2 linked regions of the Saccharomyces cerevisiae S288C genome follow. The gene in region 1 interacts genetically with each later gene. Each region holds a gene or a part of one and is shown on either strand. Other genes may lie near its edges.

Region 1 (5,689 bases):
CTTTTGTGGAGAAGAGCTGTTAAAATGATGTTGGACGGACCCACCTAAACCATTGTTCATATTTTGGTTGTTGCTATTGATACTGTTGATACTGTTGTTAATGTTACTGCTGTTGCTGTTGTTGTATTGACGGTTTTGAGAGTATGGACGGCGGTTGCTGTTGCCGTTATTATTATTTCTTCTGTTGTAGTTACCTCTATTGTTGTTTGAATCCCTATTGTTGTAGTATCTTTTATGCCCAGGGCCGTTACTATTAGAGTTATTGTTGGAGTTAATTTGCTGCTTGACCTTGTCAATTATATTATCTTGCAATTTGATAAACTTGATAAAAGTCCCTCTAATATAAATTTCGTTCAATTTTACGGCTTTACTGCTCTCAGCATTGTCTTCTGAATTAATTGCGCTTTCTTCACTATATTCGGTTACATTAGATAAAGTAAGGTTCATCCAGTTATCTACGTTGGTCAATATCCCTTGTATAATTTCACCGTTTTTCAATTCTATTTGCATTTGTTGTCCCTTCGCATTTGTTAAAAGATATAAAGGTAGCATTGAGAAAAAATATTCTATTGTGTTTCTTTTCAGTTCGAGTTGAAGATTTATCAGTTTTTCAACTCTGTTTTACTAATACTACTTCGTTAATTTACTTTTACGATTTCCTTCTTTACCGCTTCCATCATTAGGAAGGTCTATGATACTACGATTTCACGAAAGAAAGCTGCAATAATTGAACATCATTGCTACTCCGTAAAACATGATAGTAAGAGTGCTTATCACGTGACACGTGTGCGGCAAATTTCGTAATTGATGATCAAAATGCGTGTGGGCGGCTACAATGCGGAATTTGCCTTTTTCATAGTACAGGAAACTGGCGGTAAAGGAAAAGTAGTACTTTAAACTCATTTAAAATTACTTATCACTATGAATATCTTTAAATTATTGTTATACATAATAAACTATCTATTAAAAAAAAGATGCTACCCAATTCACGTTGTCCATGGTTATTTTAGAGCCTAAAAATAAAAGGCAGTAGGTTTAGAGGGACTTCAGTACAAGTAGATAACGAACGAAGCAATTACTCTGTGTACGGTGGCGGAAAAAATGAAATGTTACTTAAGAAGGAGGTAATATAAGTACATTACATTTCAACCGCATTGTGACTGCGTACTTTAAACGATAGGTGACTGCGGATCTTAGGTCGTTTAGCAGCATACGAAAATTAGTTTTACTAAACTAGACATCTAGTAAAAGGCTGTCGAAATCTCTCAATTTAAAGAGAACCTGCTACTGACTATAAATTTTGTCACTACAAATTATTGGTTTAATCTAGCCTTCATTATGGATACAATTACCTTCGGCGGCTAAAAACAACTTGATTTTGTTACCCGCGTTTGAAGTGACGCGTCACTAACCATGACGCGAAAGTTAATTATATTCAGCTCCCCGCCTGCTTATTTCCCGTTTAGGAAATAAATGGTTAACCTAACAAAAAAAAAAGAGGAACAAGGACTAAGAAGCACGTCAACGTGAAAAACGCACAAAAGATATTATAGTTATTGCCATCCTTTAGCATTGGTTTAGCATATCAACTAATTGACTAATATTTGCTGCTAAATTCAACTGGAAGCTTTTTTTTTTTTCGAGATAATAAAAAAAGAAACTCTTTAGTGTATTGTGTTATTTTTACTATTAATTGTTGTTACAGCAGAATCACATCTAGCATTGGTCGTCGCTTTTTCAAACGATTCTTCCTCCACTTACCCTTTGAAAAAAAGGTACATTATTTCACGTTATTTGATATATTGTCAACAATAATTGCTCTTTGCCGAAAATTAACTCTTCTTTCTTTCTCATTTCCCTTCTGTCCCTCTTGCGTAGTTCTAAAAGGTTGATTTATTCGAGAAATCATGCCATTTGATGTTTTGATATCAAACCAAAAAGATAATACCAATCACCAGAACATCACGCCAATATCAAAATCAGTTCTTTTGGCGCCTCATTCAAACCATCCAGTGATTGAAATAGCTACGTATTCAGAAACCGATGTATACGAATGCTATATACGTGGGTTTGAAACTAAAATAGTGATGAGAAGAACTAAAGATGATTGGATTAATATTACCCAGGTTTTCAAAATAGCTCAATTTTCGAAGACGAAAAGAACTAAAATACTGGAAAAGGAATCAAATGATATGCAACATGAAAAAGTTCAAGGTGGGTATGGTAGGTTTCAAGGTACTTGGATCCCACTGGATTCAGCGAAGTTTTTAGTCAATAAGTACGAAATAATTGACCCTGTGGTCAACTCCATCTTAACTTTTCAATTCGATCCAAATAACCCTCCACCAAAGAGAAGCAAAAATAGTATATTGAGGAAGACTTCGCCGGGAACGAAGATAACTTCTCCATCGAGCTACAATAAAACACCAAGAAAAAAGAACAGTAGTTCATCAACATCGGCTACAACTACAGCTGCGAATAAGAAAGGCAAGAAAAATGCATCGATCAACCAGCCGAATCCAAGTCCTTTACAAAACCTTGTTTTCCAAACTCCTCAACAGTTCCAAGTAAATTCATCAATGAATATAATGAACAATAATGATAACCACACCACGATGAATTTCAACAATGACACAAGACACAATTTAATAAATAATATTAGTAACAACAGCAATCAATCTACTATTATTCAACAACAAAAATCCATTCATGAAAACTCTTTCAATAATAATTATTCGGCAACTCAGAAACCTCTTCAATTTTTTCCAATTCCGACAAATTTACAAAACAAGAACGTTGCTCTGAATAACCCTAATAATAATGACAGTAATAGTTACAGCCATAACATCGACAATGTCATTAACAGCAGTAATAACAATAATAATGGCAATAATAATAACTTGATCATAGTTCCAGACGGACCTATGCAAAGCCAACAACAACAACAACATCATCATGAATATTTGACGAATAACTTCAATCATTCCATGATGGACTCCATTACAAATGGCAATAGTAAAAAAAGGAGGAAAAAGCTGAATCAATCTAATGAACAACAATTTTACAACCAGCAAGAAAAAATACAAAGGCATTTCAAATTAATGAAGCAACCCTTATTATGGCAATCCTTTCAAAATCCAAATGATCACCATAATGAGTACTGTGACAGTAACGGCAGCAACAATAACAACAACACTGTAGCATCCAATGGCTCCTCCATTGAAGTATTTTCATCAAATGAAAATGATAACAGTATGAATATGTCTTCACGATCTATGACACCGTTCAGCGCAGGAAATACTTCATCTCAAAACAAGTTGGAAAACAAAATGACAGATCAAGAATACAAGCAGACGATATTAACAATACTATCATCGGAAAGGTCTTCTGATGTAGATCAAGCGTTGTTGGCTACTTTATATCCGGCGCCCAAAAATTTTAACATAAATTTTGAAATTGATGATCAAGGTCACACTCCACTCCATTGGGCTACAGCTATGGCGAATATTCCTTTGATAAAAATGCTAATTACCTTAAATGCTAATGCATTACAGTGTAATAAGCTCGGTTTTAATTGCATCACAAAATCAATTTTCTACAACAATTGCTACAAGGAGAATGCTTTCGATGAAATAATATCCATCTTAAAAATATGTCTTATAACTCCCGACGTAAATGGAAGATTGCCATTTCATTATTTAATTGAATTGAGCGTTAATAAGTCCAAAAATCCAATGATAATAAAATCTTATATGGATTCGATAATATTGAGCTTGGGTCAGCAGGACTACAATTTGTTGAAGATATGTTTGAACTACCAAGATAATATAGGGAACACTCCACTGCATTTATCTGCTTTAAACTTGAACTTCGAGGTTTACAACAGACTGGTATATCTTGGTGCGTCAACAGATATATTGAATCTAGATAACGAATCGCCTGCGTCAATAATGAATAAGTTTAATACTCCGGCTGGCGGGTCAAACAGCAGAAACAACAACACCAAGGCAGATCGAAAGTTAGCTCGAAACCTTCCTCAAAAGAATTATTACCAACAACAGCAACAGCAACAGCAACCACAAAACAATGTCAAAATTCCAAAAATTATAAAAACTCAACATCCTGATAAAGAAGATTCTACTGCAGATGTCAATATAGCTAAAACAGATTCTGAAGTCAACGAAAGTCAATACCTGCATTCCAACCAGCCAAATTCTACAAATATGAACACTATTATGGAAGACTTGTCGAATATTAATTCTTTCGTGACGTCGTCTGTCATTAAAGATATAAAGTCTACGCCGTCCAAAATTCTTGAAAACTCTCCCATTTTATACAGAAGAAGATCACAGTCAATATCAGATGAAAAAGAAAAGGCAAAGGATAATGAGAATCAAGTTGAAAAGAAAAAGGATCCCTTGAATAGTGTGAAAACTGCCATGCCATCATTGGAATCGCCTTCTTCCCTTCTGCCGATACAGATGTCTCCACTAGGAAAGTACTCAAAACCGCTTTCGCAGCAGATCAACAAATTAAATACAAAAGTTTCTTCTCTACAAAGAATAATGGGTGAAGAAATTAAAAATCTGGACAACGAAGTAGTAGAAACCGAATCCTCTATTTCTAACAATAAGAAGAGATTGATTACAATAGCACATCAAATAGAGGATGCTTTCGATTCCGTATCAAACAAAACTCCCATAAATTCGATATCAGATTTACAATCAAGGATTAAAGAAACATCGTCAAAGTTGAATTCTGAAAAGCAAAATTTTATTCAAAGCTTGGAAAAATCTCAAGCTTTAAAACTGGCTACAATTGTCCAGGATGAGGAATCAAAGGTTGATATGAATACTAACTCAAGTTCACATCCAGAAAAACAGGAAGATGAAGAGCCAATTCCAAAGTCAACGTCGGAAACTTCTTCTCCTAAAAACACCAAAGCGGACGCCAAATTTTCTAATACTGTACAAGAATCATATGATGTAAATGAGACGTTGAGACTAGCAACGGAACTAACTATTCTACAGTTTAAAAGAAGGATGACAACATTGAAAATAAGCGAAGCTAAAAGCAAAATTAATTCATCGGTGAAGTTAGATAAATACAGAAACTTGATTGGTATCACAATTGAGAACATTGACTCAAAATTGGACGATATAGAAAAGGATTTGAGGGCAAACGCATAAATTTTAATTCACAATGTACCAATAATTTTTACTATATTATCAGAGTTTTTAAATTTTTTTTTTTTTTTTTTGGTAGCAATTTTTTACATATTTGTATAGTCACTTTTCTCATTGCGCTTGAGTTGCTTCAAGTGCATGTCAACAAACATTTGAACTACTAAACTTAGACTATTATGGTTAGCCCTTTGCTAATTATCAGGATGTCTTTTATTACGATTGTGCTTTGTTTTCGTACAATATGATGAATGGAAAGCGCGATGAGATGAGGTCGAAAAAAAAAAAAAAAAAAAAAAAAATAGAAACATCCACTTATCCATAGATCCTTCATTTTATTTGTTGTCAGGTTTGGTATTGATTTTATTAGTCAACAAAAAAGAATAGGCAAGACCCCGCAAGGATCCTTCTTCTCGTTTCTGTATATTACCAAAATCCTGCCTTAGCAGCATAAAAACTGAGGGACGAAAAACACTTTTTTAGTATCAAGTAGTATAATGGATCAA
Region 2 (3,670 bases), on another chromosome or scaffold:
ATGGAAATAGGGCCATCCTCAGGCAGGCTTCCACCTTTTTCAAACGTACATTCTCTACAGACTTCAGCAAACCCAACCCAAATTAAGGGAGTGAACGATATATCTCATTGGTCACAGGAATTTCAAGGTAGTAATAGTATTCAAAATAGAAACGCGGATACAGGAAATTCAGAAAAGGCATGGCAGCGTGGCTCAACAACCGCATCAAGCCGGTTTCAGTACCCTAATACCATGATGAATAACTATGCTTATGCTTCTATGAACAGTCTTAGTGGATCAAGGCTCCAATCGCCTGCTTTCATGAATCAACAACAGTCTGGTCGTTCTAAAGAAGGAGTCAATGAGCAAGAACAACAACCCTGGACAGATCAGTTTGAAAAGCTGGAAAAAGAAGTCTCAGAAAACTTGGACATAAATGATGAAATAGAGAAGGAGGAAAATGTGAGTGAAGTAGAACAAAACAAACCAGAAACTGTTGAGAAGGAAGAAGGAGTATATGGAGATCAGTATCAATCTGATTTCCAAGAAGTGTGGGATAGCATACACAAGGACGCTGAAGAAGTCTTGCCATCCGAATTAGTTAATGATGACCTCAATCTAGGAGAAGACTACTTGAAATATCTCGGCGGTAGAGTAAATGGGAACATCGAGTATGCTTTTCAATCTAACAACGAATATTTTAATAATCCTAATGCTTATAAAATTGGCTGCCTACTGATGGAAAACGGAGCCAAATTGAGCGAGGCAGCGCTAGCATTTGAAGCTGCTGTTAAAGAAAAACCGGACCATGTGGATGCATGGCTAAGATTGGGTCTAGTACAAACCCAGAATGAAAAAGAGTTGAACGGCATAAGCGCCCTCGAAGAATGTTTAAAGTTAGACCCAAAGAATCTGGAGGCAATGAAAACTTTAGCGATAAGTTATATAAACGAAGGTTATGATATGAGCGCCTTCACAATGCTGGATAAATGGGCAGAAACTAAGTACCCGGAAATTTGGTCAAGGATCAAGCAACAAGATGACAAATTTCAAAAAGAGAAAGGGTTTACCCATATTGATATGAACGCTCATATCACAAAGCAATTTTTGCAACTAGCAAACAATTTAAGCACAATAGATCCTGAAATACAACTATGCTTGGGTCTCTTATTTTACACGAAAGATGATTTTGACAAAACCATAGATTGCTTTGAAAGTGCGTTGAGGGTGAATCCTAATGACGAACTCATGTGGAATAGATTAGGGGCTTCATTGGCCAATTCCAATAGATCAGAGGAAGCAATCCAAGCCTATCATAGGGCACTACAACTAAAACCTTCTTTTGTTAGAGCTCGCTATAATCTGGCGGTATCATCCATGAATATAGGCTGTTTCAAAGAAGCAGCAGGCTACTTATTAAGTGTTCTAAGTATGCATGAAGTGAACACTAATAATAAAAAAGGAGACGTTGGATCTCTCTTGAATACGTACAATGATACTGTTATAGAGACTTTGAAGAGAGTTTTTATAGCGATGAATAGAGATGATTTACTTCAAGAAGTGAAGCCAGGCATGGACCTGAAAAGATTTAAAGGAGAATTTTCGTTTTGATATGGTTCTCCGCAATTTTATGTTCTCGCATCACTGCCCAAATTCATTAGCATTAGCAGTACAAGCTATCCTATATATAAGGCAATAAAAAATCTTATAAATACTATCAGCAAGATTTCAACCTTGGAAAACATGCATTCAAAGGTCATAATTGCTGCTCTATTTACAGTCGTCCATAATGACATTTCTCTTTGATTATTTTCTTGTTTTTTCGCTCTTCTCAAGTGGATGTTACATAACAAACAAAACAGAAAAAATTGTTTAAATATAAAGTTTAAAAGTTATCTTTGATTCCGCACCTGAATTTTTGGATTGAAGGCCAAAGGAGGTTTATCAGGGAGAGAAAAGCTCTCTATTTATTTTTATAAGGAATAATTGTGCATGTACAACTATACAATATGTCTAGTGTACCTTATAATTCCCAACTTCCTATATCCAACCATCTAGAGTACGATGAAGATGAAAAGAAGAGCAGAGGCTCAAAACTAGGCCTGAAATATAAAATGATATACTGGAGGAAAACTTTATGCAGTTCGCTAGCGAGATGGAGAAAGCTAATACTATTAATATCTTTAGCTTTGTTTTTATTCATATGGATAAGCGATTCCACCATAAGCAGAAATCCATCTACCACAAGTTTTCAAGGCCAAAATAGTAACGATAATAAGTTGAGTAATACTGGTTCTAGCATCAACTCCAAAAGATATGTACCACCATATTCTAAGAGATCAAGATGGTCGTTTTGGAATCAAGATCCTAGGATTGTCATTATATTAGCGGCAAACGAAGGTGGTGGTGTATTGAGGTGGAAAAATGAGCAAGAATGGGCTATCGAAGGCATATCAATAGAAAATAAGAAGGCCTATGCGAAGAGACATGGATATGCGTTGACTATCAAGGATTTGACAACGTCCAAAAGATACTCTCACGAATACAGAGAGGGTTGGCAAAAAGTAGATATATTGAGACAGACGTTCAGGGAGTTTCCTAATGCAGAATGGTTCTGGTGGTTGGACCTGGATACTATGATAATGGAGCCTTCTAAATCATTAGAAGAACATATTTTCGACAGATTGGAAACTCTGGCTGACAGAGAATTGAAAAGTTTTAATCCCCTAAACCTAAGAGACGACATACCCTATGTCGATTATTCAGAGGAAATGGAGTTTCTAATAACACAAGATTGTGGAGGCTTCAATTTGGGCTCATTTCTGATAAAAAATAGCGAATGGTCTAAGCTGCTTCTAGATATGTGGTGGGACCCCGTTCTGTATGAACAAAAACATATGGTTTGGGAACATAGAGAACAAGATGCGTTAGAGGCATTATATGAAAACGAACCGTGGATTCGTTCGAGAATAGGATTTTTGCCCTTAAGAACGATCAATGCATTCCCACCGGGAGCATGCTCTGAATACAGTGGTGACTCAAGATACTTTTACAGTGAGAAAGACCATGATTTTGTTGTGAATATGGCCGGATGCAATTTTGGCAGAGATTGCTGGGGCGAGATGCAGTACTACACCACTTTAATGGAAAAACTGAATAGGAAATGGTACACGAGATTTTTCTTCCCATAAAATGGAAGTTATCAATATTGTAAAGAGAAGCATTTACAAGCTTTTATTTTTCTTTTTAATTTCCACTACTGGTTCTGCTTTAAAATGTTGTTTTATAATTTATGTACATTTAGGCCTATAGAAGATTCTTTCAATAATATGCTACACATTCTTTTATTTTTCCATCATATGTTGGAGTTTATGCCTCCTCGGCAGGAGTTGGGCGGTGCGAAGAGAAGAAAAAGAGTGAAACTAAAAAAAGGAATCTGCCTTTGCATAAGTTCAAAAGTGCAATTTTAGTGTTGGATTTAAACGGGAAAAATTGAAATGGCCATCGAAACAATACTTGTAATAAACAAATCAGGCGGACTAATCTATCAGCGGAATTTTACCAACGACGAACAGAAATTGAACAGCAATGAATACTTAATTCTTGCTAGTACACTGCACGGTGTATTCGCCATCGCGAGCCAGCTGACTCCGAAGGCATTACAGCTAACTCAACAAACGAACATCGAAAA

Evidence for each region.
Region 2: mutations in SWI4 (region 1) and MNN10 together harm fitness more than expected from each alone (negative genetic interaction), as found in Saccharomyces cerevisiae (4 studies listed by BioGRID).

The regions. Positions count from the first base shown.
Region 1 is NC_001137.3:382,095-387,783, reverse strand, and holds SWI4 (SBF complex DNA-binding subunit SWI4), read left to right. Parts: upstream 1-1,907; coding exon 1,908-5,189; downstream 5,190-5,689. Other genes in the region: U6 snRNA complex subunit LSM4, read right to left, coding at 1-552; karyopherin KAP123, read left to right, coding at 5,681-5,689. UniProt on the Saccharomyces cerevisiae protein: Part of a complex involved in cell-cycle-dependent transcription. SWI4 and SWI6 are required for formation of the cell-cycle box factor-DNA complex. The repeated element in the upstream region of HO (5'-CACGAAAA-3') is called the cell cycle box (CCB).
Region 2 is NC_001136.10:950,812-954,481, forward strand, and holds MNN10 (alpha-1,6-mannosyltransferase), read left to right. Parts: upstream 1-1,988; coding exon 1,989-3,170; downstream 3,171-3,670. Other genes in the region: PEX5 (Pex5p), read left to right, coding at 1-1,590; TRAPP subunit TRS23, read left to right, coding at 3,477-3,670. UniProt on the Saccharomyces cerevisiae protein: Required for polarized growth and efficient budding. The M-Pol II complex possesses alpha-1,6-mannosyltransferase activity and is probably involved in the elongation of the mannan backbone of N-linked glycans on cell wall and periplasmic proteins.